4 linked regions of the Alligator mississippiensis genome follow. The protein of the gene in region 4 purifies or fractionates together with the protein of the main gene of each other region. This does not show direct contact. Links are inferred from orthologs where the notes say so. Each region holds a gene or a part of one and is shown on either strand. Other genes may lie near its edges. The genes, in order: ATN1, HDAC2, HDAC1 and WDR5.

The links.
Region 1: the proteins of WDR5 (region 4) and ATN1 purify together in Homo sapiens (affinity purification with mass spectrometry; 4 studies listed by BioGRID and IntAct, counting the BioPlex papers as one, with this or other methods). This does not show direct contact. The link is inferred for Alligator mississippiensis from reciprocal best matches to the Homo sapiens genes WDR5 and ATN1.
Region 2: the proteins of WDR5 (region 4) and HDAC2 purify together in Homo sapiens (affinity purification with mass spectrometry; 7 studies listed by BioGRID and IntAct, with this or other methods). This does not show direct contact. The link is inferred for Alligator mississippiensis from reciprocal best matches to the Homo sapiens genes WDR5 and HDAC2.
Region 3: the proteins of WDR5 (region 4) and HDAC1 purify together in Homo sapiens (affinity purification with mass spectrometry; 8 studies listed by BioGRID and IntAct, counting the BioPlex papers as one, with this or other methods). This does not show direct contact. The link is inferred for Alligator mississippiensis from reciprocal best matches to the Homo sapiens genes WDR5 and HDAC1.

Annotation. Positions count from the first base shown.
Region 1 is NC_081824.1:244,060,567-244,068,265, reverse strand, and holds the start of ATN1 (atrophin-1), read right to left. Parts: upstream 3,007-7,699; 5' UTR 2,518-3,006; intron 1-2,517. UniProt on the Homo sapiens protein: Transcriptional corepressor. Recruits NR2E1 to repress transcription. Promotes vascular smooth cell (VSMC) migration and orientation. Corepressor of MTG8 transcriptional repression.
Region 2 is NC_081824.1:99,432,498-99,439,910, reverse strand, and holds the start of HDAC2 (histone deacetylase 2), read left to right. Parts: upstream 1-4,404; 5' UTR 4,405-4,432; coding exon 4,433-4,487; intron 4,488-7,413. UniProt on the Homo sapiens protein: Histone deacetylase that catalyzes the deacetylation of lysine residues on the N-terminal part of the core histones (H2A, H2B, H3 and H4).
Region 3 is NC_081829.1:5,643,999-5,651,198, reverse strand, and holds the start of HDAC1 (histone deacetylase 1), read right to left. Parts: upstream 3,019-7,200; 5' UTR 2,948-3,018; coding exon 2,899-2,947; intron 1-2,898. Other genes in the region: tyrosine-protein kinase Lck, read right to left, coding at 6,032-6,234, 6,537-6,668. UniProt on the Homo sapiens protein: Histone deacetylase that catalyzes the deacetylation of lysine residues on the N-terminal part of the core histones (H2A, H2B, H3 and H4).
Region 4 is NC_081835.1:61,654,229-61,661,763, reverse strand, and holds the start of WDR5 (WD repeat-containing protein 5), read right to left. Parts: upstream 3,006-7,535; 5' UTR 2,915-3,005; coding exon 2,834-2,914; intron 1,425-2,833; coding exon 1,316-1,424; intron 1-1,315.

The sequences.
Region 1 (7,699 bases), on a different chromosome or scaffold from region 4:
TGGAAAAGGACTGCAAACTATAAATGCCAAATATAGCAAATCCATGGTCAGGTAACTGCTGTGTGGGCATGTGCAGTGACACAGGAGTCTGTCCATTATTGTCTCAGTTCAAAGAAGAGACAAGCCCTCCCTCTACAGCTCTTTGAATACTGCACTCTGATCTGGGTTCCTCTGACCCAAAGATGGAAGAAGGTCATTTCTCCTTATAGAGCTGTGGGGAGACCTCACGTGGAATACTGTGCTTAGCTCTACAACCCACAATCCAGAAAGATGACAACAAACTCTAGGGAACTCAGTGAAGAATTAAAGAAAGACACAAGGGGCTACAGGGACTGAACCCTCAGAAGAGATCAGAAGAGCCAAACTTATCTGGCTCAGTGAAGCTCAGGTAAGCGCTGTTCTACAGGAGAAAATGTATTGATGTAATTATACCTGTATAGGAATGCAGCTATAGTCATATTGCATTCATTCCTTTTTGATCCCTGGTATTCAGGAATAAAAGTGCCCAAACAGGGAGCTATACTGGTATTCCTGTGTAGACAAGCCATAAGGTGGGGATAAAAGGGCCCACTGAATTTGCCTGAGGGGAGCAAAGCCTGAGGAGGAAAAATACTAGAACAGATTAAACCCATTGAACCCCTTCATTAGGATTCATGAGACATTAAATTTGCAAATGATTGGGTGAGATGTATTGTTACCAGCGAGCTTTATGGTTCCTTCAGAGCCATACTGAAAAGCTCAGTCAAGAATTCGAACAATTTCCCCAAGACCACAAAGAGAAAAGAGGTCTTCCTGCCTAGGAAGACCAGATCCTCCAATCAGGAAACAGAAACCATCATCTGTGACTTAGAGGTCTCACCACATGGCGCAAATTCTCCTTTCAAGCAGCTCATTAGCAACCATTGGCCAACATTTATTCTCACAGATGATTTGTTACATAATCATAAGTAACATATGTGAAAATAATGACACAGTCCAAGGAGAAAAGAGTGATATTTCTCAGATAAATTAATCCCAACAAATCATTTGACCAGCTCCTGTTCACAACCTCCCCCCTGATGTCAGTCAGGATTTTGTAGGAGTGACTTCATCTGCTTATTTAAATTTGTCTACCTCTGGGGTACAGGGCATTTAGTTCTTTAACAGTCATACAGCAATGCTGCACAATGGTAAAGGGCAGGGAGTGAAAGAGAGCACTGAATCTCACAACAACTATGGGGCGGTTTCGGCAGGCAGAACCAAGCTACCATAGAGAGCACTGAGGTGGGAGCACTGAGGTTAGCACCCCAACTCCTGCAGAAAGTGATGGGAACTTTAACAATCACAACAGATTAACGCTTCAACCTGGTATCTAATGTGAAATACATCACTCATGAAGCATCTCAATTCTTCACACAGTACTCCACTGTTCAGGCCAACACTGAGCGCACACCCCTCTGAATGCACATACATGCAAACCACATTACTCGCCATTTTCTCCCCTCTCCATAGGTCCCTGTCGTCTTTGCCCTCTCCTTCAGTTTCAGGAGGCACATCAAATCTCAGGCAATCCTCCCAGTACAACTGGGGCCAGAGATACTGAAGCTGTGTAAGGACTCAGTGTTCCAGAAGAACCAGAAAAGGGCAGAGGAGCCCTACTGGCCACGAAGCATGGGGCAATCAGAGTAACAGTAGGGCAACTAACAGCCAAGGGAGCCAGAGCACAAAGGAAAAAAAAGCAAATAATGCTAAGAGGTTGGCCAAAACGTCGTCCTCGGCAGTCCTTCGATTTGAGGATGATCTCTACCACGGCTCATTGACCAGCACAATAGCAACTCTGTCAACACGGAGATGGCACAATGGCCACCAGAAAAGGCAATCAAATACACCTCAGTGATAAACAATAATGATGGTGGGCTAATGCAAGAACCAGCAAGTGAGTCGCATTGTAGCAATGTGACAGTCACCGAGCACAAAAGGGCAGGTGGCCCAAAGGGGATCATGCCCAAGAGGATCCCCAGCTAACAGCCCAGGGGGCTCCCTGCAAAACCCAACTGGCTGGCCCCAGCCATGGGGGCAGCAGGCACAAGACTAGAGGCCGAGCCCTCAACACATGAGCGGCCCAGCCGAGAAGCCAGAAAAGCCGGGTCAAAGGGGCCAGGAAAGCCAGGCTACAACCCACTTGCAGGCCGGGTCTCTTCCCTGGGGCACCCCCTGCAGTGAATGGGTGGGGGGGCCCTGAAGCGCGTGCGGAGAGGCAGCGCCCGGGCCAGCAGCTCCGTCCTGCCCGGGGGGCGCCGCGCTGCGCTCTCCTCTCCCCAAGCGGCCCGGGCGGGCAGAGGCAGCGCCGCGAAGTGAGACCCAAGGGTGTCCGCGGGCAGCGGCAGCCCGGGCTGCTGCTCCTTGTCCAGCATTGTTGTGGCGCGGCTCGGGCCCGGCCCCAGCCCCGGCCCCGCTGCGGGGGGAGCAGGGAGTGCCGCCCTCTCCCCCTGGGGGCTGCCCGCGCGCCCCCGCCCCTCGCCCCGGGCGCGGACTCACCGGCGCTGCGGAGCCGTCGGCTGCAGGGGAAGGCGCCCGTCCTCGCCGGGGGTGGCGGAGCGGCCGCAGGGCCCGGCCGGGGCGGCGGAGGAGCGGCAGCAGCAGCGCTCAGGCGCCGGCGGCTCTGCCCCGGCCCCGGCCCCGGCCCCCGCGCCGCGCGGCCCCCGCGCCCGCCCGCGCCCCGCCGCCCGCCATCCCAGTCCGCCGCGGCTCTCGCCCCGCGCCCGCCGGGGGAGCGGGGGAGGAGGAGGAATCCTGCCGCTCCGCGCGGCAGCGGGAGGGAGGAAGGGGCAGGGAGGCGTGTGCGTGTGCGTGTGTGTGCAGGGGGGCCGGCCCGCTACAGCCCCCGCCCCTGGGGCCGAGGGGGTGCGCCCCACTCCCAGCTGCCCCCCCTCGATCACGCGCGCACACACACGCACACGCAGTGCGGGGCGGCGGGAGCCTTCACCTGCCCCGCGGCGCCCCCCCTTCCCGGGGCCCCTGGGTGGAGGCCCGGCTGCTGCCCCCGGGCCCCTCAGCCTCCCTCCCCGGCTCAGTGCCACTCCTCGGGCTCCCCGCAAGCCCCCTCCCACCCAAGCCCCAGTACAAAGGAATGGGAGAAGCCTGGAGCTTTTTTGGCAAGACAGACCCGGGAGCAACAGCATCAGGAAAGGGAGGGAAGAGCCGGCTTGGATCGCTCCGGAGCGGGAGTCCCGGCCTGCACCCCCAGCCCCGGGCCAGGCGGGCGGGCGGCACCTTAGGAGCGCCAGGGCCACAGGGTGCGGGTCTGAGAGCTTGTTTCTCTGCCCACGGGAGGCGGCCCCCTTTAATCCCGTCTGAAGCCAGGCTTGAGTCGGGGGGAGGGAGAGGGGTCTTGTAGGGCGCCCTACAAGCCAAGGCCCCCCCTCCGGCCTCAAGACTTGCCCGCCCCTGTCTTGCCCGGGTCGGGGCTGGAGCCTGGCGCCCTCCCGGCCGCTCTCCAGCACCGCCACCCGCTGAGCAGCCGCTCCCAGCGCCAAGGGTGTGCCTGGAGCCGGCATCCTCCCCCAGCCCGGTCAGCGGTGCCTGTGCAAACCGGCCGGCCACAGCTCCATGCCTGGCCTTTGCTTTCACCGGCCTGGATCTAATCAGCATTCAGAGTCTGCCTGAAGGATTACACAAACTGCACACACTTCAATTGCTCACCCCCCTCCCCTCTCCATCTTTCCCTCCTGGAGCCTGTCCCATCCCCCTTTCCCAGTTACCAAGCAACGGCACAAAGGGAGAGTCTATAGTGTGGAGGCCAAGAGAGGGCTCTCAGCCCTGCAAGAATGGAGAAGCCTGTAACCCAATCCGCGCCTTTGTACCTGAGACTGTGGGGAGGAGAGGGATGGAGAGGAGCAGAGGCAGGCACACGCAGAAAGAACGGATAAATATATGCAGCTGGCAACGAGGCCCAAGAGCTGTATGCCTTAGAAAATACAAGATTCCAGTCCAAAACGATAAACCCACACAGTGAACAGGAGTGAAAATACATTGGTGGCATCCTCAAAACACCATTTATTATGGAGTGGGGAGCTTCTCCCGAGTTAAGGTTGCAGTAAGCTTCCAACCCAGGCCTTCCTTTAGCCTCCCAATTATTTCAATTTGAAAATTGCCACCTTTATTCCCAATGCAAAGGAGGTTTATGAGACTGCTGAATTCATCTCAGCAAAAAGACTGCTTGAGTTATACGTCATTAAAAATGACCCTGAATTTTTCAGTCTTAGGGTTTCATCAGGTGTTTCTTTTCATGCCTCTGCTTCAAAAGGCCTCTTTATACAATCCCCAGAATTCAATTTTATTGAAAATACATGCTCTAACTATTTTGGAGAGAAAGGGTTGTAATTAAATGAAGTGGCTAATGATGTTTGTTTTGTGTGAGAGAGAGAGAAGGATCTGATTCTGCTCCCATTGGTTTCATCTGGAGATGTCAGTCCTTGACACAAGGAAATGGTGGGTGTGGGTGTGTGCACATCCGCACATGTCTGGGTGGGTAGGTGTGCACATGCACATACGTGTGTTTGGGTGGGTCAGTGTGTGTGTGGGTATGCATGAGTGTGTGGGTGTGAGAGAGAGAGAGAGGGAGGGAGAGAGAGCTTGAGCAAGAAAGAGTGCAAGTGACCAAGACCATGTTACCCTTCATTGGCTGGATTAAGTTCAGTAGATAAGGATGTTCCTATCAGCAACACCTAATAGCTCCTTAAGTGCACGTATAGAGGCCTCAAACTGTGCCATAATGTTTCTAACGTTATAATGATATTTTACTGTACTAGAAAACCCCAAAGAATGCCAGATTGTCAAGTCAAGTGCTTGAAAATTAGGACGTGCTAGAATTAAGGTTGCCAGTACAACTTTAATTTGGGACCCTTATGCATATGTATTCTGATTTTAATTTTACTATCACATTCTATTTTTTCCACAGGACTACTGCTTCTTTCTGTGCACAGGTTGAACAGCACTCACTGAATGGATAGCCAATATTTATTTTTATCTTCATCATTCATTATGTGGCTCCAAGCGTTATTTACTGTACGGCATCCAAACCCTGCAATGAACACAGAATTATTACTTTTCTCATGGGTTTTTCAATGATGCTCATCACCATAATATCTGGATGCTTTACAAATGTTAATGAACTTATCTTTTTAATATTCCTGTAAGCTACCATTATCCCTATTTCACATACAGGGAACTAAGGCTCAACGATTAATACTAAAATTGTCAGAAGTGTCCATATAGTTGGAGTGACCAACTGGAAATGGTCTGACTTTTCAGAGTACTAGCAATTAATAGCACGTTATCTGTTCAGAACACTCCTCTAATTTATCTATTCTAAAGCATGGTTGTGAATGCTTGTCTCCTGTACTTATCAGAGTCCAAGTGTTTTTTCAAGTTAGGCCCCAGAAAATAAGGAATACATTTGTATAGCTGTTGAACCTAGAAGACCCATTCATGGGCCTTGATCCCAGTGTATTAGGTACTGAACAAATACAGAACAGAAGAAATATCCCTGCCTAGAGGGATATAGATAGATTCAAAAGGAAATGCCAGAAATAATGAGATGATATTGGACAGAAAGAAAGGCAGTAGTCTCATAACTCTAACAGCCTAACCACTGTCAAATTTTTGTAGGCATCATATTTAATGAGGTTTTTGAAGAAGGATAATGAGGTAGATTGGCAAAAGTTCATGATCTTCTTCCAAGCATTAGGGACACCAGTGAAAACCTGGATTAAGTGTCTTGCTCCACATCGCATAAGAACTCTATGGCAAAGGTAAAAATACAGTCTAATTCTCCATGAGACCATCCTTTACCTCAGAGGTGGGCAAAATACAGGTTGAGAGTAGGATCTGTCTGACCCACTAAGGGATTTTGTCCAGCCTGTGGCAGGTCCCATAGCTCAGGCTCAGGGCACAGCCCAGGCTGTGGCATGTGCAGTCAGTTCAGAAACCCAGCAGGGCTGGAGCGGTGCAGTAGTTGGACTCACTTCCCAGCAACCCCAGTGGCGGTGGCTCCTTCCAGCTGCCACCACCACTGGGCCCAGCCCCACTGCCTTGGCACCCCAGCCCATCTGCCCTGCACCCAACACTGGGGGCAGGACCCATGCAGGCAGGCCAGGTGGATGGGATGGGATGGGATGGGGCCACGGGCAGGCAGGAAATGGTATTTGGGAGCAGGACAGGCAGATGAGGTCAAGATCACGGGGCAGGATTGTGAAGCAGTGACAGCATGGGGCTGGGGCAGAGCTGCAATCTGCTGCCCACACGGCCCCATGACGAGTGTAGGTTCTGTGGGCAGGGACTTGTGGGGAGCAGATCATAGCTCTGCCCCTGGCTCTGGTGCCAAGTTATCACCATCCAAGATCCCAGCCCCGGATGCTTCTTCCTGCCCACAGGTGGCCTCATCCTGTCTGTCTAGACATTTGCCCTGCCCACACAGGTCCCGGCTGGTCTCCATAGAGACCTTGGGACCACTAGCCAGTGACAGTGCGGGGCTGGAGCTGGGGACAGAGCCACGATCCACTCCCTACATGCCCCTGCCTGGAACCAGTGCCCATTGCAAGGACGTCAGTAGTGGATCATAGGTCTGCCCAGGGCCCTGGCCCCATGCAGTCACCATCCCACAATCCCAGTCCTGGCCCTGGCTGCCCACCCATCCTGCTCCCGGATGCCTCCCCCTGCCCACTTATGGCCCCATTCAAGCCCCCCAGCCGAGTGCCCAAGGAATTTTAGTGAACTGTTGCTTGCGAGAATGGGGGCAGGTGTACTGACTGGCAGAGGGAAGAGGTTGATGTCATATATTTGGACTTCAAAAAAGCCTTTGACCCGGTGTTCCATGATGTCCTCATGGAAAAAATGGGCAACTGCAGCCTCGACTACTCCACAATCTGATGGCTGGAGAACTGGCTCCAAGGTCGGACCCAGAGAGTGGTAGTTAATGGAACTGAATCAACATGGCACTCAGTGACGAGTGGCGTCCCCCAAGGCTCTGTTCTTGGACCTGTACTCTTTAATGTATTTATAAATGATCTGGACACTGGTGCAAAAGCAGACTGGCCAAGTTAGCTGACAACACCAAACTTTGGGGAAGAGTCTCCAAACTTGAGGATAGGTTTGTGATCCAGGCCAACCTCAATAGGCTTGCAAGTAAGGTTCCCTCTAAGGTGCGCGTACGCGACCACGCACAAGTAAAAGGCTGGCCGCGCACAAACTTTTTAGTCTGTGCACCCGCTGGGATAGGAGCTGGGCTGCAGCGTGGGACACTTACATGATGGTAAGTTCCTCCAAGAGGTGAGGCAGAGGCGGAGGCAGGAGCCTGGCACAGACTCCAGGGAACTGCTCCATTCCCCCGCTTTGCCTCGGGGAGCAAGCAGCCACGTGGCATCAGGGCTGGGGAGTGGAGCACTTCCCCGGAGCTGACAGAGCCCTGGAGCACTTCCCCTGAGCCAGCAGAGCCTCACTCAGGGCAGGCAGTGGCTCCTCCCTGAGGTGAGGCAAGGCAGGGATAGAGGCTGGGGCTGGGGGCTGGTGCAGGCTCTGCTGGCTCTGGGGAAGTGCTCCACTCCCCAGCCCTGATGCCATATGCCTCCTTGCTCCCTGAGGTGAAGCAGGGGAGTGGAGCAGTGTCCTGGAGCCAGCGGAGCCCACTCCAACCCCTAGCCCCCAGCCCCTAATTTTAGTC
Region 2 (7,413 bases), on a different chromosome or scaffold from region 4:
AGCAGGGGTGGCAGGGACCTCCACAGGTCATCTAGTCCAGTGGTTCTCAACCCTTTCTGTACCAGGATCCATTTGTAAATGTTGATGAAGTGTCTTAATCCAGTGCCCCTCACTTCCGACCTGCTGCCCCCACCCCAGGCCCTAGTCCCCCAGTGTGGGGTGGGGGAAGGATGTGAGACATGGGGATCCCAAGCAGCCCCTGGCAGCCTGGAACTCTGCCAGCCTACAAGGGAAAAGCCATGTTTCCCATGTTTTTCTCCTTTAAAGGAGAATCCGTTTCTAAAATTTGTTCATGACCCTTTCATATATTCTTGCAACCTACTTTTGGGTCACAACCCACAGGTTGAAAATGCTGATCTAGTCCAATCCCCTGCTTGAGGCAGGATCAGCCCTATCTAAACCATAACCTAAACTCTACAGAAGCCTACCATCTTCTCAATTCCCTATTGGCCAGGACGATGCCTCTAAAACCAAATAGCTACTTTCCCCACACTTCTGTGCAAGCCCCTTATAGCAATACAGCTTCGTATTCACTGCGGGGGGGACACTACTTTGATTGGTGCAGTTGCATGTGATGTATACGTGTGCTGATCCTTGGTTGTGCTGATCCAGGGGTGTCAAGCTCATCCAGCCCAACAGGCCAGCTGAGTGGCTCGGGGCCCAGTCCAACCAGCCTGTCTCGGAGAGGCCAGAGTGGGTGCCTGCTCCGGAGTCACGGTGCACATGGCAGCTGCTCTGAGACGTGTGCTGGAGCGGGCACCACGAGTGGCACAGCCCTGGAGTGGCAGGAGTGGGCAGCTGCCCCTGGGTCCACGCCGAGACCCACGGGAAGCACCCGAGGGTGGGATGCCAGCACAGTTTGAATTATGGGGGAGGTTGGGGGCTGGGGGGCGTTGAGTGTCTTTGTAAGATTTGAAAATCATAACTTGTAAGCATCTCCAGGTACCATGATGGGCAGCCCAATTTTTGCAGCCCCCCTCCCAGAAGTAGCATTGCCAACTCTTGACTAAAGCTGTTCTGGAAGATTACCCCTCCCCACAATGTGACATAGCATCATTACTTTTATTTTCTGAAAATCTCTCAGATTGCTTTCAACAGTCAAGGAGAGATCAGGCCAATACGGGAGGGTTAGTGACCCTACCCAAGGGTACTTCGTACCCCAGATGTACAGCTGGACCCGGCCCCCGGGCTCTCTTCGAGGCTGCATGGTGGCATGTAGGAAGAACTGAAACGCAGGGCGGTGGGTGGCCGCCCCCGGGAGACACGCTGCGTGGGCCCCCCATCATTGCCAGGGGGAGACGAGGCTCAGGGCCTGGTGGGTCCAGCCTGGCCGCCCCCTTCACCTGCCTCTGCCCGCCCCGTCGCCTCCAGCCGCCCCTGGGAGCAGGGCGGGTAGACCCCCCGCGAGGGGACCAAGGGGGACCCGCTCCGCCCTTCCCCAGCGTGCGCGGGAGGGGGCGGAGCCACGTGCCGTTACCGCCCCTCCCTCCAGCCACGTGACGCAGGCCAGAGGCAATAGAGGGCCTCGCGCCTGCGCTTCAACCCCCCCCCCCATTAGGGAGGGGGTGGGGCAGGGCGCGGGCTGTACCACTGCGTGCCGCCCTGGGGGGGAGGGCAGGGAAGGCGGAGCTCTGCGCCGAGTTCACAAGTGACGGCGGCGCTTCGCTCTTTCCCTGACTCTCTCTCGCGTCCCCCTTTCCCCCCTCTCAAGTCTCCTCATGCGTTAACGGGAGTGGGGGAGTGACAAGGAAACGCCTTTCCACGCATCCCCCCCGGCGGGTGCAGAGTGGGCACTCCCCCTCCCCCCCTCCCGCGTGCCGCGCGCTGGATGGTCGGGTCGCTGCGCTGCCCCCGGCCCCGGTGTCGCCGCTTCCTCCCGCTCCCGCCCGTCCGCGCGCCGACGCTTCCGTCCCCCCTCCTCCTCCTCCTCCCGGCCTCGCGGCGGCAGCCCCATGGCGTACAGTCAGGGCGGCGGCAAGAAGAAAGTCTGCTACTACTACGACGGTGAGCGGGGGGGAGGGAGCTGAGCAGTGCCCCCCCCCCGCCCTGCCCCACATAGGCGCGTCCGGGGGGAGGGGCTCGAGCTGCTGCCGCGCTTCACTGCTTCACGGGGGGGTGAAACCGCGGGTGTCTGTGCGTGTCTGCGTGTACGCGGGGGGTGGGCGTGTGTGCACGTTTGTATGTGAGAGTGCAGGCGTGCTAGTCTGCGTGGGGGGTGAGAGAGTATGTGTCCGTGCGTAGTTGTGTGTGTGCAAGGTGGGCGAGGGAGGGAAAGCATCGTGTGTGTGTGCAAGGGGGGTTGGGTGCCAGTGCATCTAGGCATATTCGTGCATGCGTGTCTCACATCTGTGTGAGAAGGATATGTATTTGTGTGCATGTGTGTAAGGTGTGTTTGCATATGGGTATCTATGTATGTGCCTGCGAGTGCTTGGGGGGGGCGGGTAGGGGGTGAGGTATCCAGGTTGTAGCCGTATTGGTGTAGAAGCAAAAGGAATCAAAACTCATGACAAAGGTGATATCTTTTATTAGACCAACTAGATATTTGCAAAAATGGGTGGGGGGCTGAGAGCACGGGTGTCTGTGCACAGTGTGTTTGTGAAGCGTGTCCGAATGCTTGCACATGTGTATTTCTGTGTGTGTCTCCACCAGCCGGGTTTTCACCTAGCTAACAGCAGCAGCTGGTTTGATTGGCCCTAGCCAATCACTTTTATTTTTCCCTCTCCCCATCAAACCTCCCAGCCCTCTGAAGCTCGTTGTCCTGTATGAAGGACCACATTATCAGGGTTTAACTTTGTCTTTGGCACAGCTAATTAGACTCAACTGCTGTTTTAGGTTCATGTAAAGGAATGAGGTTGTCTTGGTGCAGTGAGCCCCCAGTATCCCACCTTAGACCAGACAACTGATTTTTAGCCCCCGACCACTGCAGGAAGAGGTGCGAGGCAGGCCAGAGGCAGGGACACACTGGCAAGCGCCACCGCCCTCCCTTTAGTTGTATCCTAGATGCCTCAAGACAGAGCCCCAGGGTCTTGGGCTCCCAGAGGCAGGTCCTAGCTAGCCATGGGCTAGACCCCTAGGCAGCCCCAGTCACAAGTGTGTGCTCCGCTCTCTACTTTTACTTGTCTCACTATCCTAGAAACACAGTGCCAAAACCCTTCACATATCCTGCCAAGTAGCATCTGCATCTGCTCCGGGTGAAACGCCAAATGGCCTATGAAACTGGCTGGCAGGAGTGGTACTGGCAGGGTGCATGCTCAGGCCAGGGAGATGGGGGTGTCGGTGTGTTCAGAGAGCAACGCCTCCTGATCCATTTGATCAGCAATGCCAAAGCTATGATCTCAAATTTATATCTAATTTCATGTTTGCATCAGTTCCTCCATCTTTGGTTCAAGCCATAGAAAGAGAGGGGGGGACGTTTCCCTACAGCTAAACTTTTATTGGTCAGATCAGCTGCAAATGATTTGCTTATGTCTAATTTTCCACCAGAAACAATCTCAGAGAAGCTGGGAGTGGCTGTTGGGGATGGGCCACTATTCTGGTGTTTGCAGTAGTGCTGGGGACGTTGAGCCTGCTTTGCGATTCTTATTTTTTAGTCAGCTACTGTTTAGGGTTTTAAGAGCCTTGGCTTTAGCGCAAGGTGATGCCAAATGCGTGCTGGTGTGGCAGATATGTCTGCCGCTATTCAGAAATGGCAGATCTGGTGGGGCCTCTTCAGGGTTTCTAACATGCTAAGTGAGGCTGAGTGGTGGTTGCCGCCCCCTTCTCTTTGTTGCTTGCTCTGGTTCTTTGTTCAGCATAAGGGGGGAAAGAGGCCACTGTTAGGGAGAATTTTGTTGAAGCTAGGGTACGACTTCCCTGGAAAAAGAGTAAATGGTGTTCTATCTTGGCAAAAAGATATTTCAGAAGTGCTCTGTATGCTGTATTTGTATATCTGCAGCTAATTTAATAGAATTGTTTGCAAAATATGTTGGGAAAGCAAAGTTTGCTTGATAAAACTAGGTACCCTTTTGCTAGAGCAGTGGTTCTCAAACCTGTTAGCCTCTGGGCACCCCTCAGGAAATACCAGCTCTTAGCTTTCCCTTGTTTTGGGACAATGGAAAAAATAATAGAGGAATTATTTTTGTTGCAAATAACTCAAGTCCAAATGGTTTGGACGCTTATGGATTCCAGTTTTAAATCTCTGGGTTTATCTTGTGAATTGTGTAGGTGTTTGCATATGTAATAGCGGTGTTATTGCATGGAATCCTTAAAATGATCTCATAGTACCCATGGTTAAGAATTATTATGCTCGAGTGGAATATTTCTGGCATTATAGTAGTGTAACAATTGCAAGCACTGTTGCTTGAATCCCTACATAGTAGATAAACTTATCTTGGTGAGACTTTAAAAAAGTGCTAGAGTAAGGAACAATTTTGCACTGGCAGGATGCTGAACTATGATCCCGTTGATCTTTGCTACTTCTGATTTACATGAAAATACACATTTGCTTGGTGAGTCCATGGACTTTTTTTACGTGGCTGTTTTGTCTTGCTTATTTCATATTTAATTGGCTCTGTATGGTCATCTTTCTCTATGATGATTGCTCTTCCTAAATCTTTCTAAACTATAATGTTTTGAAAGATGCAAGTTGCTAAAAAAACAATTGTTGAAAGATTTTTTTGGTTGATTAACTTGTATGTATAGACAGGAATGAATAGAAGTCATAGGCTAGAGTGAGTATAATTTAAAACTGGACAAATGTGTTCCTTCTATAATTGAGCTGTCTTAGAAAAATTGCTTATTTTGCAGTAGGGAACTGAAAAGTATTAGAACATTTCTAATAGCTGGTTTGTTAGCACCAGATCTAATAAAAGACATAAGTGCCCATAAGCTAGGCCTTTTAAATGTCTGGAAACTTGACTTTTTGGGTGTCTGGAAAGTGGAATCTGAAGTCCAGGATTAAGACCTTAGTCTCTTTTATACAGTATGTAAGGTTAAGGTACCTTGGGAGAGCAAGTGAAAAACCCTGCTGCTGAGTAAGATGCCACTTAGGGTTAGTCTGAATGAAATGCTAAGTTCATACGTGTCTGAATGTGTCTTTCTCTCTGAGTTTAAATTACAACCATGGCTCCAAGGTTGCCTCTGTTTACTCAGGAATCAGAGCTTTGAACATGTTCCTGGATAGGTGCTTATAAAAATTCAAGGAACTGAGGGGAGCTCAAGCTGCTCATGATGTGGCTGATGGAAGTGATGATGATGGTGCTGCTGCCCTGCTGTTACAGAATAGCCGACTTGTTAGGGCATTCACCTAGGAAGTTGGAAACCTGCGTTATGTATCCTTCAGCCCAAGTGGGTCAGACATCTCCTGCTACCTAATGGGCTGCCCTAACTACTAGGCTAGAGGGCTTCTTTTGAAGCTGGGCCATTACACAGAAAGCAATGCAATATTCATAGAGCCAGGAGAGAACGCTAGAGGGAATGTCATTTCATAGCAGTGGGTCTCAACTTTTTTTTTTTGTTAGATTCGAGCAACCTTTCCGTAACTTTTGTTTTAATGTGGTGGCACCTTAGTTGAGAACCACAGTTCTGTTGTGCCTCAGTTTACCTCAGTGGTTCTCAACCAGAGTGCTGATGCCACCATAGCCAGGTGGAGCTTCCTGGTATGCCTTGAGTAGAGCCAGGTCAGGGAGGGCTATGACAGGAATGCACACTCCTGCCTGCACTAGGTTTACCCAATACGTCTAAAGCAGGCAGGAGTGTCTGTCTACTCTTGTCCCAGTACTTCCTGGTCCTCCTTCCCCTGCCACTCCTGCTGGAAACAGGTGGCTAAGATGGTTCCAGCAAGGATCAGACCAGGAAGGGCTATAGCAGGACAAGGCACCTCTGCATAGGTTTATCACATAATCCTAATACAGGTGGGGGCACATGCTTGTGCCGCAGCCCATTCTAATCTGGCCATGCCCAAATCATACAAGGCAGTTCCACTTGGCTGAAGTGGTAGCAGTTCCTCTACCACATCATCCCAGTTGAGAACCTCTGCTCTTATCTCCTAATAGGTTAGGCTGTCACCTGAGAGGAAGGAGTCTTGAGTCCTTGGTCTCAGCATTATTTCTCTCTCTCCTTTAGTCCAGTGACTTTTTTAAGTGACATGTATAAAAAGTCATGGAAGAGAGAGGAGGAGAAGGTAGCATTTCCTTCTGGGCTACCCTACCTCCTAGGGCAGAGTCCTGCTCCCTCTTGTTTGCTTTCCTGATGCAGTGAATTTGGTGATCTTTGCTGCTGAGTGGTTCAGTTTTAATTGGTCATATGAAAGAAGCCCACACCCAGCCTAGTATATATCCTGGTGTTTCGGGCCCTGATCTGGGTGGTGGGAGGTGTGGATTTGAATCCCCTCAGACGTGAGGGCCTGTATCCCTGATCTGCTATTTTCTGTTCTCTTTTAACCTCTCGTTTTTTGTATAATAATTTGGTGATCCTGCCCTCTTTTCTCGTGTTGCCACGTTTTTCATGGAAAGTGAAGGTGGCCATTGTGTTTTGTGCTGAATGCAGTTCTGTTAGTGTTTCTGAACCTGCTTGCTCAAGCTTCTTTGAGGACTTAAATGTCAGTCTGTCTAGTTTTTGAGTCTCAATGAGGCATATAAGACCTAGGTGTCTGGCTGCTCAGGGCAGGGCAGTTTTGGTCACAGAAGCACCATTGCAAGTATCTAGTGAATTTTCTGATCAAAAAAAGGGAGGTAGCCCATGATTTCTGATACCTTCATGGTTAGGTGGCCACTGAGAAGGAGGGTGTTTTTTTTTATTGCAGTTTTTGGACCAGATGCACTGAGTCCTGTTTTGGGTATCCTCACTCCAAAAGGAATTAATCTGGCCTCTAGTATTTATTTGTATAATGCCAAATGACAGCAGTTATTTCAGATTTCCTTCTAAAAGATATTGGTCAAAATTGCTTTCTTAGAAATCAAAGCAGTTCTGTATCTTTTGGCTAGTTAATTTAAATGGCCAAATAATGCATAGATCTTAATAACGTTTTTTAGCCGTAGGGAAAGTTTAACTGTTTTGGGAGGAGAGAGGAGATGCCCAGAAGCTTAAGTAACCAAAAATTAATAGTATAAAAATACCCTAAACTATAGCAGATAAATTAGTAACTATCTCTTGGTGCATGGCATGCAAACACAATTAGTTTTTATTTATGAGAATCTTTTATGGCTGCATGGAAGTTTCTGTATAGAAGTAAACTCTTCTTTTTTTAGTTTTATTTTCTATTTTCACTTTGCTTCCCTGGAAATAAGCAGCAGCAGAGTAAAGAATGTACATCAGAAAATCCACAATAAAAGGGGTGCCTTCATAAGTGCTATAGTTTAATGTGGCGTATTTTGAGTTTTAAGACTAAATCTTAGTTGATATCTACTGGTGTGTCTAAAACTCTTCCTGCTTGAG
Region 3 (7,200 bases), on a different chromosome or scaffold from region 4:
CCAATACAAGTCTCTGGATAGACAAAGAATGACACAATCTCCACTGGAGATTAACATGATTTGGAGTGAAACTGCAGTTCTCATTGCTTACAACAGAATCTTGTATGGAGGCAACAGCACCCATGTTAAAGGTAGGGTTAATTTTAAATATAAAAAAGGCTTAAAGGTAACCAGAGAAAAAGCTAAAGAGTCTCCCTAGGGAATATTTGTGAAGCCCCAATCTAACTGCTAAACGAACAGGAGCCCAGGAGAAAACAGCCACTTGTTACAGTTATGCCCTGGGCTCTCAATTAAATACAGAAGACCGATTGTAAATGCTTTGAATTGAGGATCGTATCTTGAGGTTTTTACTTTGCTAAACAAAATTAAGTTACCAGATTTCCCTTTTACAGCAGTGGACATATCTGCCGTTTCAAGGATTTGTTTAAAGAGGAACTAAACATGGAAAATTCTAGGGTGTGACTTTAAAGCACAGTAGCTATTCCTCACTATCAGCCTTAAATAAGAGGTCTAGTTTACATTACAAAGTTCTGCAAGCAAAAATGTAAGCACTTTCACACCAAGTCTCCCTTGTGATGGCACAATTTCTCCCTTTTGCTTGCACTTACTCCACCTCTGCCAAGGAATAAGACTTCTGCTTCCACCTGGCAGCAAGCTGAAGGCCTATGTAGACAATCCAGCACCTTCTGCCAGCTGCGTAGTTTTTGCCTTGCCAGGGTGTGCTTGCACTCTCTCTGGTGGCAGGGCTGCAGAGTGGAGCTGCAAAGAGCCACAGAAGCACATCTGTGTGCACAGGCTTTCATGGTTGCCACTGTTATCTGCTGCCAGAACATGAGGTGGCCTACTTGGGCAAGGCCAGTGCATGCATGCACGCAGTAAAAAAAAAAAAAAAATGGCTACTGCAATTTAAATTCACCCCAAGATTATTCCACACTAGCTCCCCTGTGTGGAAGAGCCCTAAAATAAGATGGACTTGAAGCATGTTCAATTGCATGTTAACTGACAATAAAAAGGAATGTTTTTACCACAAGGTAACTACTGATAGTTAATTATCCAGTTTTACCAGGAGGTAAACTAGCAACATCAAATACAGTTGTCACTTAGCTACCTCGTGTGCAAACAACTAGCACGCATTAGTTATCTTGCTGGGGAGCAGGGAAGAAACACACATACTGCAGAAGGGCCTCCTAGTTCCTCACTTAATAATCAAAGAGGCTCATGCACTGATGACCAATTATATGTTTCTAAACACAAAAGGATCTCCAGACACAGACATTTTCATGCAATATCTGAATTACTTAAGTAGGTGAAGTGTTTCCTCAAGTGCAAGGAACATAAACCAGCATTTCCAGGGACCCTGAAGTTTTCATCCGAGTTTCAGCACTGGGAGCTCACCAATATTCTGATTTAATATCAAACGTGCACAGACAGAGCTGCTCAGAGCGATGGAAAGTAGAATGACGGGGTGAGGAAATCAGAATCGCATCACTGCAAATGACCTATGGTCCATGCACAGCACCAAGACGGGCATGGGGAGAACCCTGTGCAGAACACCCCTCAAGTAAAAACTATTTGTTATATATTGATGGTGGGCCTATGCCCACCAGAAACTAACAGCCCCCCTTCAATGACTAGAGCAAGGCCAATGGGACAAAAACCATGAGAAAACAGCAACGGGGTGCAGGGTGTAGGTTAATAACTAGGGTGCCGAGGGACGTCAGGCAATGGGACGCTGTGCAAAAGTCAAAGGCATGGATCTCCTGACAACATCAGCAGTTAGTACTGGAAGTTACTACACCAGAGTGATGAAAATTCCCCAATAGATACTGAATGAATTTATTTAGACAACCAAGTCTGGATGATGACTGAAAACATCCTCTGGCCCCAAAGCAAACCAAACGAGAACAGCTATTTTTAGCCAGCTTCCACTACTAAAAACATTATCATCTATAGGAGGACGACGTGATCCATTTTGTGCAGATCGATGCACCTCTCCCAAAACACCTCCCCCTGCTGGCAGACAGCCCGGCCATCCGTGCGGTAGCGAACGTGCACAGCAGAGCGACTGCAATCCCTCCCTTTGCAAGCGCAGCGGGAAAGAGCCAACTGCCTCGGTCAGCCCATTACCTGGGCAAGGCCCACGGGATGCCCAGAGCAGCACAAAGCCTGGATCCCTGCACACACGCACTACATCTACAGTCCCGCCAAGTTTTGCCAGGCCTTAAATCACAAGCCGTGTCACAGCAGCTCCCCGGTGCGGAGGGAAAGGCTGTCTCGATGCATCCTTGCACACCCAGGAGTTGTGAAGAGCTTCACTTCCTCTTCCTGCGGCACCTTCCTCAGAGACCCGCAGGCCTCCATGGGGGCTGCTCCTTCGGACCCCCTCAGGGCTCCCTTCGCCCACACAGCTCCTCAGGGCCCCCCCAAGCCAGGCCCCCGCTGGGGCCCTCCTCAGTGCCCCTGCCCCCATTACCAGGTGCCCTCAACACCACCCCCCTGCAGCCAGGCACCCCCTAGGATGTTCCTCAGTGCCCCCCTTAGCCAGGCACCCCACAGGGCACGGCTCAGTGTCGTCCCCCCCTCAGCCAGGTGTCACCAGAGCCCTCCTCGATGCTCCCCCATGCAGGCAGGCGCCCCCTAGGGGCCACCTCAGCGCCCCTCCCCCCACCAACCAGGCCCCCCCTCCCCTCAGCGCCCCTCCCCCCACCAACCAGGCCCCCCCTCCCCTCAGCGCCCCTCCCCCCCAGCCAGGGGCCCCTCCTCGGTGCCCCTCCCCCCCAGCAGCCAAGGGGCGCCCCTCCCCCCCACCATCCAGGGAGCACCCTCCGTGCCCCCCAGGGCAGCCCCCTGCAGCCCCTCCTCCTGCTGCCCCCCGCCCCGTGCACCCCGCTCGCTCACCATCATAGTAATAACAGACTTTCCGCTTGGTCCCCTGCGTCAGCGCCATTTTCCTGCCTCCCGACAGCGACAGACCCTTCGCGACTCAACCGAACCTGCCCCAGGGGCCAAGGCACCCCACAACCCACCTCCCCCCGCCCCCGCGGGACAGCCGACCTATCGGGGAGGGGCTTTAGCCCTGTGCTCTCGAGACGACCAATCAGAAGGTAGGGAAGGAGGAGCCAGGGGGCAGCATGGTAGGTAGGCAGCGAGGTTTCCTGGACTGTACCATTCAGAGAGCAAACGCCGTGGAAGGAACGGGCTGGCAGGACTGTACCAATCCCGGAGAAGGGGGGTGGACGGTTCTCTTAGGAGAGGGTCTGGGTACATCGGGATGTACCATTCTACAAGAATGGCGAAGGGGGGTCAGATAGGAGTGTACCATGCCCATGGTAGAGGCAGTCAAAGCAGACAGGACTGAACCAGTTGACCCCTGCCTCCATGGCGTGCTCTTTGCCTGCACAGGCATCCCTTGTTACTGCTTTCCCACAATGCACTGCTGCACATCTGGCCTGGCCAGACAGCCCTGTGCCTAGGGGTCTCTGGTTACCAGGGGGTGGGTGCCACAGTGCATTGTGGGAAAGCATTGCTGCACATCTGGCCTGGCCAGACAGCCCTGTGCCTAGGGGTCTCTGGTTACCAGGGGGTGAGTACAGCAGTGCATTGTGGGAAAGCACTGGGGGGGGCCCCTGGCTCCAGCTGTGTGCTTGGGAGCAATGTGTTGAACTGGTGCCAAACAAGTCAGCCATTTTGTGGTATCTCACTTCCTGGTGTGCCCAGTGCTGCCCCACGTCCCACGCCACCCTTCAGGTGCTGGCTGCACCCCTCAGCCCCTGCCACGGGCTGAATACTCCCTTGGATCCCACCTGCCCAAGCACCCTCACTTCCACTTAGCATCAATGGCTCCCTGGCTGCAGGGCCAGCCTTGCAAACTCCCTGCCTGCCCCATGAGTCGCACCAGCTCCCTGGGATGCCAGCATTGCCCGTCTGCAAATCCTAATCCTGCCGGTTCCCCTCAGCCATCCCGCCAGGTGTCACGTCTCTTGTGAAACATGAAGGGTTGCTGTGCTTAGGGTCCGATTCTGATGTGCTGAGACAACCCCTGCCCTACACTTACACAAGAGACTCAGGATCCTGGAGACTCAGACCCCAAGTAGGTTTGCTGTTGCATGATGCCCGAGCAGCAGAAGGCAGGGCCAGCTGGTCCACCACCTTTTACTCGGCATGACAGGACCCCACCCTCAGCTCTGTGCACCCCCAGCGTGTGATTAGGATGTGTTGATCTTCCTTGCCACGGATCGGATGGAGCCACATGATTACTTTGTTGTTTAATGAAAGTAAAACAGCAATACAGGACAGGGCTTTACAATGAAATGGAGAAAGAAAAATCTTACAGTGAAGATGGCTCATTCCTAAAGCAAAATTCTGGGTGGGTTTCTGGTGAGCAAGCCTTTAGTGAGACTATGCTGAAACCCTTCCTTGATGGGCCTACCTAGAGCCTCACACTCCCACCCCCACTGGTCTGGTGCCAATTCTGAGAGGGTCCAGTTCTGGATCTAACGGTGTTGTTCAAATCCATCTGTAAGTATATTATAAAATGCCAGTGTCTGGGCTTTGGGGTAACCAAAGCAGTCTTGCTGGTTGGAGCAGAGTCCTGTGCATCTCTGCTTCTCACTGGGTGAGACCATATACAGACATTGCACTTTTACCAGTCGAAGTGATTAGAAACCAGCCTATACCCATAACAGAAGTTCGACACACATAGACTGGTTTAAAACTGGCGGGCCCCAGTCTAAGATTTGCCCTCCCCCCACATCAAAAAGGGAACGTGTTCTGTTCGCTACTGACCTAACCTACGCCGCTTACTGAAAACCACGCAACTTAGGTCGCTCCCGCTTCAGGTTTTTTGAAAGTCTGTATCTAGCCTGATCTTCTGAGCTGCAATCAGCATTTTTTCTTCCTGACTGTAAACTCCTTTCTCCCTTTCATAACATGGTTGAATCTGATAACTACTTTACCAAACTCTCTAAAAGGTTGTTGGTGTGAACGGCGCTAGTCAGAGTCCAGCAGTGTGGTTTCAGAGTGAAGAAAGATGTCAGCAATGCAGAGAATGACTGCTTTGGTGACCCTGGGACCAACAGACATGGACAGTGGTGTCCTATACACCATCTTCCAGGGATCTGAGCTCTCATGTGAAGAGGTTTTGCCCCTGTTGCATTGCACAATGGGCCCTGTGTCCTTCTACAGTACCTGTGGTGAGTGCAGCTATTTGCATGCCTTGATCACAGCCCCAGCCTTGGACAGCTTCCAGTCACACAGCTGGCACATCCATGCAAAACACCTTAGCATTGATGTACCATCCATCTCCACTACAGAAAGGAATAAAAAACCACCAAAGAAATATTGCAGGGGGAACTTGGGGGTGGAAGGGACATGGGGAGTTCCACTTTGTAGCCCTTTGAGCATCTCTTTGTGGAAAATCAGTGCTGAGATGGGGTCCAGCTGATCCAGTGCAATTGTTGTTGTATTCTGAGCATTATCTGAGACTGTAAGTGAGCTGGTTCCCTATGTTATTTTCAGATCAAATTTGTGATTATAGTTGCTGAAGAGAAGTTTATAAGACTTGACAGTGCCTCTTGCTAGGAGTACACTCTCTGTATAGCATGGGTGTGTCGAGGCCCGCAGGAACGAATATGGTCTAGGCAGTGACCACCTGCGTGGCCGTGTATCTGTGTGGTTATCTGGACAGATGCATTGTGAGTGAACATAAGGCCAGTGTGCACATGGCACTGAGATGGGTAAAGTAGCACGTGCATACTTGCACAGGGAGTTCAGAAAGAGACCTAGCAGCATCTTGGGTCAAAACACTTGTCAGTTCAGTGCCTCCGGTCTGCTCTGAGGCAAGGTCTGCTGGCTGAGCGTGCTCCAGGAACACGCGTCTTTGCTATGGACGGAGGGATTGCTGAGGTCCTGCCAGCGTTTGCTGTGATCCAAATGCCAAGGCCCGATCTGCATAAAGTTTCTGAGGAGCTAATGCATAGGGGCTGTTCCCCTCCGCCCATCCTGACACGAGGATGCCTCCAGCCCCATCCTGTCATGGCTGCTGCTGGTACTGGCCCTCGGTGGCAGTAAAGAAGTCCTCGAGCACACTCTTCATGTATTCAAAGGTGGGGCGGTCCTCTGGCCTCTCCTTCCAGCATTTCTTCATCAGTTCGTACAGCTCCTCTGGGCAGTTATCTGGCTGAGGCATTCGGTAGCCCCGCTCCAAATTCTGTATCACTTCTGGGTTCGTCATCCCTGCACATACAACACACATAACAGTCAGAAACAGCCAGGGAAGGGAGCCACTTCCATATACCGGTGCTGACCTCTGCTGGGAGTAGAGGAGCATCGGCCGGCTCCTGCAGCCAGCCACCCTGCAGTGCCTTCTGCCGAGTCTGAAACCAGGGTAACTCTCGGCCCTTGCAACCACCCCCGTGTCGTAGAGCACCTTCTGCTGGTCAGTGTGGGGGCATGGAGGTACACCCAGCCCCTGTCAGCTCCAATGTCTTTTTGATCTGACTGCAGGCACAGGCTGCACTGCTGTGAAAAATCCTAACCTGGATAGGGGATCCGGCCATAGGTGATGATCTCTGTGAGGAGGATCCCAAAGGACCAGACGTCAGATTTGATGGTGAATGTACCATAATTAATAGCTTCGGGTGCCGTCCACTTAATGGGGAATTTGGCTCCTGAAAATACACAAGGAGAAAGAGGGACGGGGGATAGGAGAAGGAAGAAGGTCACTGCTGTTGCCCTAAACCCACAAAGCTGATGTGCGGGCTTGAACGTCACCTGCATATCCCTTTGCGCCCTGCCCTCACTGAAACTCCCTTGGCGTGGTGCACCCACAGCCCTGGCATGTCTTGCCATCACTGGGCTCTTAATGATGCCTATTCCTGAGATAGCCACCAGATAGGGCTCTAGTCTCAGACTGATGTGGATTACTGGGCAGGCTTCCTGCAACTAATGCCAAGCACAGCATCCCCTCTGCTCCAGAGAATGTATTAGAAATGTCTCTAGCTGCTGCTTTCACAGGTCTGAGGGGGCCTCCGTTTCTCCTAGCCCCAGCCCTAGCTATTCCTTTCACTAATTTCTATGTCCCTTTCTGCAAAAAGCAGCAGTCCCACTGTCACGTGCCCCACCTCAAAGTCCCTCCTGCCCCATGCTAGGGGAAGCTGTCTTTCCCTCACTCCTTCAGGGATGCCCTCTTAGGCCTGGGTT
Region 4 (7,535 bases):
CAGCATATTGGATAGTTGTTTGGAGACACCAAATAGTTTTTACCCTCAAGCACAGATTTCGGTACAGAAGGCAAAATGTAAATGCTAATGACACAGTTTCACGTATGCCAGACTGCAGGAGCTAAGATCAGACACGGTGACTGCAATGTAAAGGGTCTCAAACGGTTCTAATTTCTCCAGTGGAGACTTTGGCTTCTGCTTTTTTAAAATTACACTGCTCATCAGAAAAAGCTACCATCCCCACAAGGGCCACTGAAATGCTTACGCCCCAGGAAGATCAAAAACCAATCCAGAAACTGGGCTGACTAATAGCTGTGAGAAACAAAACACGCTATTCATCATCACATTAGCTTGCGATCCACAGCAGAGAAAAAGCTTGATATTTGCCAGATGTTAAAGCAGGAGGAATGTCTGGGGTGGGAGTGAGAAATGACCTTTTTAAAAAGGTATCACAAAAAATGTAAGAAATTAATTTCTTTGCAGTTTGCTGCCCATATAAAGGCAAGCACGATCAAGTAACAGACCAGAACCGTTGCCATTTCTGGAGGGTGTGGGGCTTACAGTGGCCATCTGCGTGTTCAACAGCATTCCTCCGAGTTGCCCCTCTCCTCTCTTTCCCAGGCATGCACCTTTTGTTCCAGAGGGAAGTTGTCAGGCATTTGCAAGTTTACCAGAGAGATTTCACCATTATCAAAGGCTGGCACGAAGAGAACTTGATCTACTGCTTAGGTTTAGAGTTCTGGGCAAAAGCTCGCTAAATTCCTCCCTTCAAAGTCCCTCTTGCCTCTTCCTCTCTTATAAGTAACAAAGTGCAATGGAGATGACTCGACTCTCCAAGGCTCTTTCCTATTACCGTTCCAATACAGGAAGACAAAGAATAATGATCAGTGAAATTCACTGCCAGACAGCATGTGCATCAAGCCAAGCAAGGCCCAATTTAAAGGCATAAGCTGGAACTTAAGTAACGGGGAGGGCTGGATGAGATCCTCTCTGTACTGCAGTTAATTTCACATTTATCCACAATCTGTGTGTGTTATCCTGGCTGTGTTTCTGCAGCAGTGTAAGAGGAGCATCCCAAGCCCTTTTGGTCTGGCAATGGGCAGAGGCAATCCAGGATATAATACACCATGACACACACGCAATACTAAGCAGGTCGTGTTTTGTCATTTACTCAGCTTAAAGAGCTAGACGATTGTTTTCTCCCTCCCTCTGATCATGGTAGCACTAAGATACGGTCAGCAAGCTGTCTAACATGCCAGATCCACATTTGGCCAATTCAGACAACAGGAAAGCATTAAGACAGACTGATACTTACAGGAACTGGCTAGCCACTCTCCATTTGGACTAAACTTTACTGACGAGACGGCCTTAGTGTGTCCTGCTAACGTGAACTTTAGAGCATAGTTTGGTTTTACAGGTGCAGGCTGCAAGAAAGATTTGTTCAAATAAGTCAAGTAGATACTTAATTCAATGTTTCAGTTCTAACTGGGATATCTAACAAGCCAGGACACAGGGATGTACAGCATGATCACTGACAGCGGTCTGGATTTATCTATTAAAAAAAGGCGTAGCCCTGTATTTACAGGGGAACATATTTTTTACATTATCTGGCTCAGCGCTGCTTTACTGGACCTACAGAGAAACATCCTCAAAACAACTAGTTAAATTTATCTGAGATGCAAATCTATCCAAGTCAGCCACACAGGCAGAAAGTTGGCCCACAAGCGTGAGCTGAGCCACACTCCATACAGGATTTACAAGTGACCTGCCAAACGCTTTTAAAAATTAGGGTTGTGACCATTTGCATCTCCTTAAACCTCAGCAAGACACCTGACTTTTTCTAGTGCTGCTGAAGGACTCCTCAGAGAGCAGGATTTCAGATGGGCACTGCAAGCTTCACGCCTTGAAGGAATGGAGGAGGGAAAAGGGAGTTAATCCTTAATGAGGACATCCTCTTCCCACAACAATCAAATTTTTCCATGCCTGAATACAGGTGATTTTTTTATTTATTTCCATCCCCCTTCCATTGAAATATCACAAATTGATCAGTTTTCTAATCTCCTTACAGTCCTCCATGGGTACAGAAGACCTTCGGACTCTATGATCATAAGATAGGAGGAGCACAAGGCCATTTTTCTCCTTGGCAAGTCATCTTTACATACCAGTGTTACCTTTTTGGCTGGTGATCATTTCAGCAAAAACACCCAGACACTGGGATGACAGACCTCTTGCAATGATTGTGTTAACTGTCACTAGCAGCAGAAGCAGTTACAGAAACCAAACATCTGACGGGCCTTCTGGATCCCTGTTGGATAGCTGGCAACTCCATTAAGTATTTCAAGAAATCCTGACATCTTTATTTCTCAGAGAGGATTGTGACATTACTCATAAGTCTCTCTCACTACCATTTTACAACAATTACAAGATATACTATGCTACATGTAATTCCCTGAAGCGTTTGAATTAAGGTCAAATGACACTTGCAACGATAAAGCATGCTCTGTAACATGTTCTCTAATTTTCTCACTGCTTGCAAAAATTCAGGATACCATAATGGACTCAAGTGATGCAAGGCAGAGGTTACGTTATACGGACAAAACAAAATTATAGCTCTTCAGGGTAAATCCAGGAATCTCATAGTCAGTCTTGCCCCCAAAGCCTTCAGCATGTTCTTGGCCCTATACAAACCCAGAAAAATTCCCGAGGAATTCCTTCAGAATTCAACTTTTCCTTAAAATCCCTCATCCCAGTTTGCTTGTAAAAAAAAAAAAACCATAGGTAGCTCCCATGTGTATTTACAGACTCAGGATATTGTTCAGAGACCTACACACACCTTGCTCTGATTGGTTGAAGAGGAAGGAGTCGACTGTGTTTTGGTGGATTCTGCGTCTGGTTTCTTTTCTTCTGTTGCCATGGTTCTGAAGCTGGCAAGTCAGACCTATGGTGCTTGAAGGGATGAATGAATGTGCTGCTTCAAAAGGGAGCCTTTCCCACTGACAGGAGAACAGAACTGGGATCTCAAACCTAGGAGAAAATTCAACACTACCGTTAACCACAAAAGAACACTGTTTCAGCACCTAGAAAAGCATCATTCACGAGCGCATAATGACCGTAATCCCCACCCCCAGGAAAACCGATGCAAAGAGCATCTTACGATTCCAACTAGTATCCGAGAGACGAATGCTGCAGACGGAGACAAACAAATGCGCACCAACGCAACAGGGTGTTTATGCCTTCATGCCCATACATTTGTACAGCATACAACAGCACGCCCTACTTCCCTTCTCATAAAGGAAACTGATCCATCAAGCCTTGTGCTACCCGGATGGTGTTGACGCTCTTTTTTTCCCCAGCTGCAGAAACGTATTCTTTTTCTTTGTATCACTGATCCGTGAAACCGACTGCTGCATTTACACCGGGACTGCTAAATCGGTAGCACAGTGGTGTCCAACCTTTTAGGAAACCAGCCCCACACCCTCCCCAAATGCCACTATAATCCTCTTCCTCCGATTCATCCGCTGCTTCGCTTTCTGCTCCCCACCCTGTGCAACTCTGTCTGACCTGCTGCTCGGCTTTCTGCTCCCTGCCATCACATTGCCTAGCCCCACGCCGCTCGTCACAGGTCGGCCAGCCCCGCCCTGGCAAAAGGGGAGGTCGTAAACACGACACCTCCTGAAGATGGGGTCTACACCGCACAAGGACAAGAGTGCCTGGGATGGCTTTTTTGGACTGTATCATTTGGATGACAGGGGTTGCGGTGGTGGGGAAAGGGTTATTTCTCACGCCTGTATCAGCAACAGGACAAGAAGCACCGGCAGACACGAGGGTTTTGTTGCATCAGAGGAGGCAAGAAACCACCCCGGACATTGCTGGGGACCTGAACTCCTCTGCAGGACGACAACAAGCTCCATTTGCTTCGTTCACCGCCCAGGGCAGCGACACTCGACCTTTCCAGCCTCAAGGCTCCCTACGTACCATGTCTAAACCTACTTCTGCATCCACGCTGGGTGCGCTCACGAGGATCGACTGGCTTTGGGCATTTCTGCTCAGCACACACGGGTCAAAAAGGGACGGGGGACCCATTCTTGGATGAAAACGGCATCCGTTACGGGAGCGTGTCAATCGGACCCTTGCGGACCAGCGGTGCCCGAACTTGAACAGCTTGCGTTGTCGATTTAAAACCATGCCTCCCTCCTCCAGTCCCCGCCCAGCCCAAAACTATACCTCCTCCAGTCCCTCCAGCGCAAAACCAGACCTCCACCAGTCTCCCCAGTAAAAAACTATACCACCTCCATTCCCCCCAGCGCAAAACCAAACCACCTCCAGTCTCCCCAGTACAAAACTATACCTCCACCAGTCCCCCAGTACAAAACCATACCACCTCCAGTCCCCCCAGCGCAAAACCAGACCTCCACCAGTCCCTACCCAGTGCAAAACCATACCACCTCCAGTCTCCCCAGTGCAAAACCATACCTCCACCAGTCCCCTCAGCGCAAAACCATACCACCTCCAGTCTCCCCAGTACAAAACCATACCTCCACCAGTCTCCCCAGCGCAAAACCATACCTCCACCAGTCCCCCCAATAAAAAACTATACCTCCACCAGTCCCCTCAGCGCAAAACCATACCTCCACCAGTCCCCCCAATAAAAAACTATACCTCCTCCAGTCCCCCCAGCGCAAAACCAGACCTCCACCAGTCCCCCCAGCGCAAAACCAGACCTCCACCAGTCCCCCCAGCGCAAAACCAGACCTCCACCAGTCCCCCCAGTAAAAAACTATACCACCTCCATTCCCCCCAGCGCAAAACCATACCTCCACCAGTCCCCCCAGCGCAAAACCAGACCTCCACCAGTCCCTACCCAGTGCAAAACCATACCACCTCCAGTCTCCCCAGTACAAAACCATACCCCTCCACCAGTCCCCTCAGCGCAAAACCATACCTCCACCAGTCCCCCCAGTGCAAAACCATACCACCTCCAGTCCCCCCAGCACAAAACCATACCACCTCCAGTCCCCCCAGCACAAAACCATACCACCTCCATCTCCCCAGTAAAAAACTATACCACCACCAGTCCCCCCAGTGCAAAACCACACCTCCACTGGTCCCCAGTACAAAACCAAACCAGCTCCCATCCCCCCAGTGCAAAACCATACCTCCACCAGTCCCCCCCAGCACATTAATTTTTCAGCCCAACCTCCAGCCCCCCCGCCACACGCACACAGACACACGCACGTGTGTGTCTCACGACACAGCGGGTAACAGACGTGCTGATGGGTCGCACGGGGGGGGGGGGGGTGTCCGACCCAGGTGCCGTGTGCCGCACGTGGGCCCGGCCCCCCGGAGCCGCCGGCGCTCCCTGCGGGGGGAACTACAACACCCCCCAACCCGACGGGGGAAGGGCGGGAGTCAAAGGGTCAAAACAGGCCCCCCAACCGCCCGGACGGCGGCTCCCACGAGGACACGCCGCCTCCCTCCCCGGGCCCGGGCTCTTCCCCCGCCCCCGCGGGCGGCGGCGGGACGGGAGACACGCGAAGGGGGGGAGGGGGGGCACACACGACACTCACCGGTGGGGGAGGGGGGGGCGCGGGGCCGGGGGGGGCGCGGCGGCTCTCGCGGCCGCCAGGCGGGGGAGGGGAAGGGGAGGCGGCGCCTGCGCAGTGCGGAGCGCGGGGGGCCGCACAATGCCGCTCGCTGCCGGCCGCGGACGGCGCGGGGAAAGGGACAGAAAAGGCAAGCGCGCCGGCAACGCCTTAAAGAGACAGGCGCCCCCTTTTTTTTTTTTTTTGCTTTTTTTTTCACTCCTTCTCCTCCCTTCCCCTCGCAGGGGAGGCGGGGAGTGTCAGCCCCAGAAGTGCTCTCATAGAGGGCAGCCGGGCTCCCCCATGAGCCCCTCAGGGGCCTGTGGGGCAGGAATGTGGCTCCCACTGGGGCTGGGCAGGGGGGTTTACTTGACTTTTTGCAAAAATATGTATTTTTATAGATAGATATAAATATCTATCTAGACCGACCTATCTAGATATAGATCGATAGATAAATATATACCGATGAACAGATAGTGATAGATATAGATATGCATAGATGGATAGATATAGATAGATAAATATATACCTATGAATATGGTGATATATGTAGATATGCATAGATAGATAGATAGATATAGATAGATAAATATATACTTATGAATAGTGATAGATAGAGATATGCATAGATAGATATAGATATATAAATATATACCTATGAATAGTTAGTGATAGATATATAGAGATATACTTAGATAGATAGATAGATAAATATATACCTATGAATATGGTGATATATGTAGATATGCATAGATAGATAGGTATCGATAGATAAATATATACCTATGAATAGATACCAATAGATATTTAGATAGATAGATATAGATATATAGCTATTGATAGAGATGTATCTATCGATAGACAGATAGATAGATAGACAGATAGATATAACCCCCACCTCCAACACTGCCATGTGACCCGTGTGGTTCACTTGGCAGCTCAAACCACACTAAAAACCCATTACACAGTTCGCGCCGCACAACCGCGCGTCCGCACTCCCATCTCCGGGCTTGTGCAGGGCTTGGCCCGGCCCGCCTGCGTCCTGAGGATACATCTTCCCCAGCTGGCGCCTGGCACGGGCCTGGCCTAAGCAGAACAGGGGAAGCCGCCGAGCCCAGGGAGGACAGCCCTCACCGGACCCAGCCTTGTGGCAAGCTGTGGGGCCGTGCACGTGCTGCTCTGGGCCTTGCTGGATCTGGCCTGTGCATCGATAGGAGGCCAGGAGTCTCCAGACCTGTTCCCATGACTGTAACCAGGCGTGCAAAATGCGCCTGCCCAGTCCAAACCGTTGCTCAACTGGGTCCCGTTTGCATCTGGCGACTGTGTTGGCGTCCTACAGCCCACTCTGGCCTTCTTTAGCAATTATCTTCAGTGTCTCCCTGACGGCTTGTTTCAAATGAAAACCACCTGCCTCATCAACTGTTAACTAAAAACCCATATAGAGGAGGCTTAAAAGTCATAAATCATTTATGCATGAAGCCCACAAGCTCCTGGAAGAGTTTGGGGATGCTACACCAAACATATGGGTCAACCGCTGGGAAGCACCAGACCTAGTCCTCTTATACCGATGCCAAAGGAGTCCCGCACTGGGCCCGGCTTTGACAGAGAAGCGCAGGTCACGCTGAACGGGCTGAGATCTGGAGACGGACGCTTCGAAACAACGCTCTGCATGATGAGCATTTTGGGCAGCCAGGTCCTGCGCGAAGGCGGCGCTCAACAGACAGCGCAGCGCTTCATCGAAAGCTGCAAACTTTGCAAAGGAATAGGAGGAATCCGCACATTGGGAGATAAAACCGGACAGCGACTTATGGATTTGGAAGTTGATATCTGCTGCTGTATGAAAGAGAGAGTTCAGGTGGCGACGAAGCTGAGCGTTTGGGGCTGGACGTACACGATTTAATCCCCGGTGACAAACACAATGATGTTTTCCCCCTAAACGATGCTGCCCCTTAG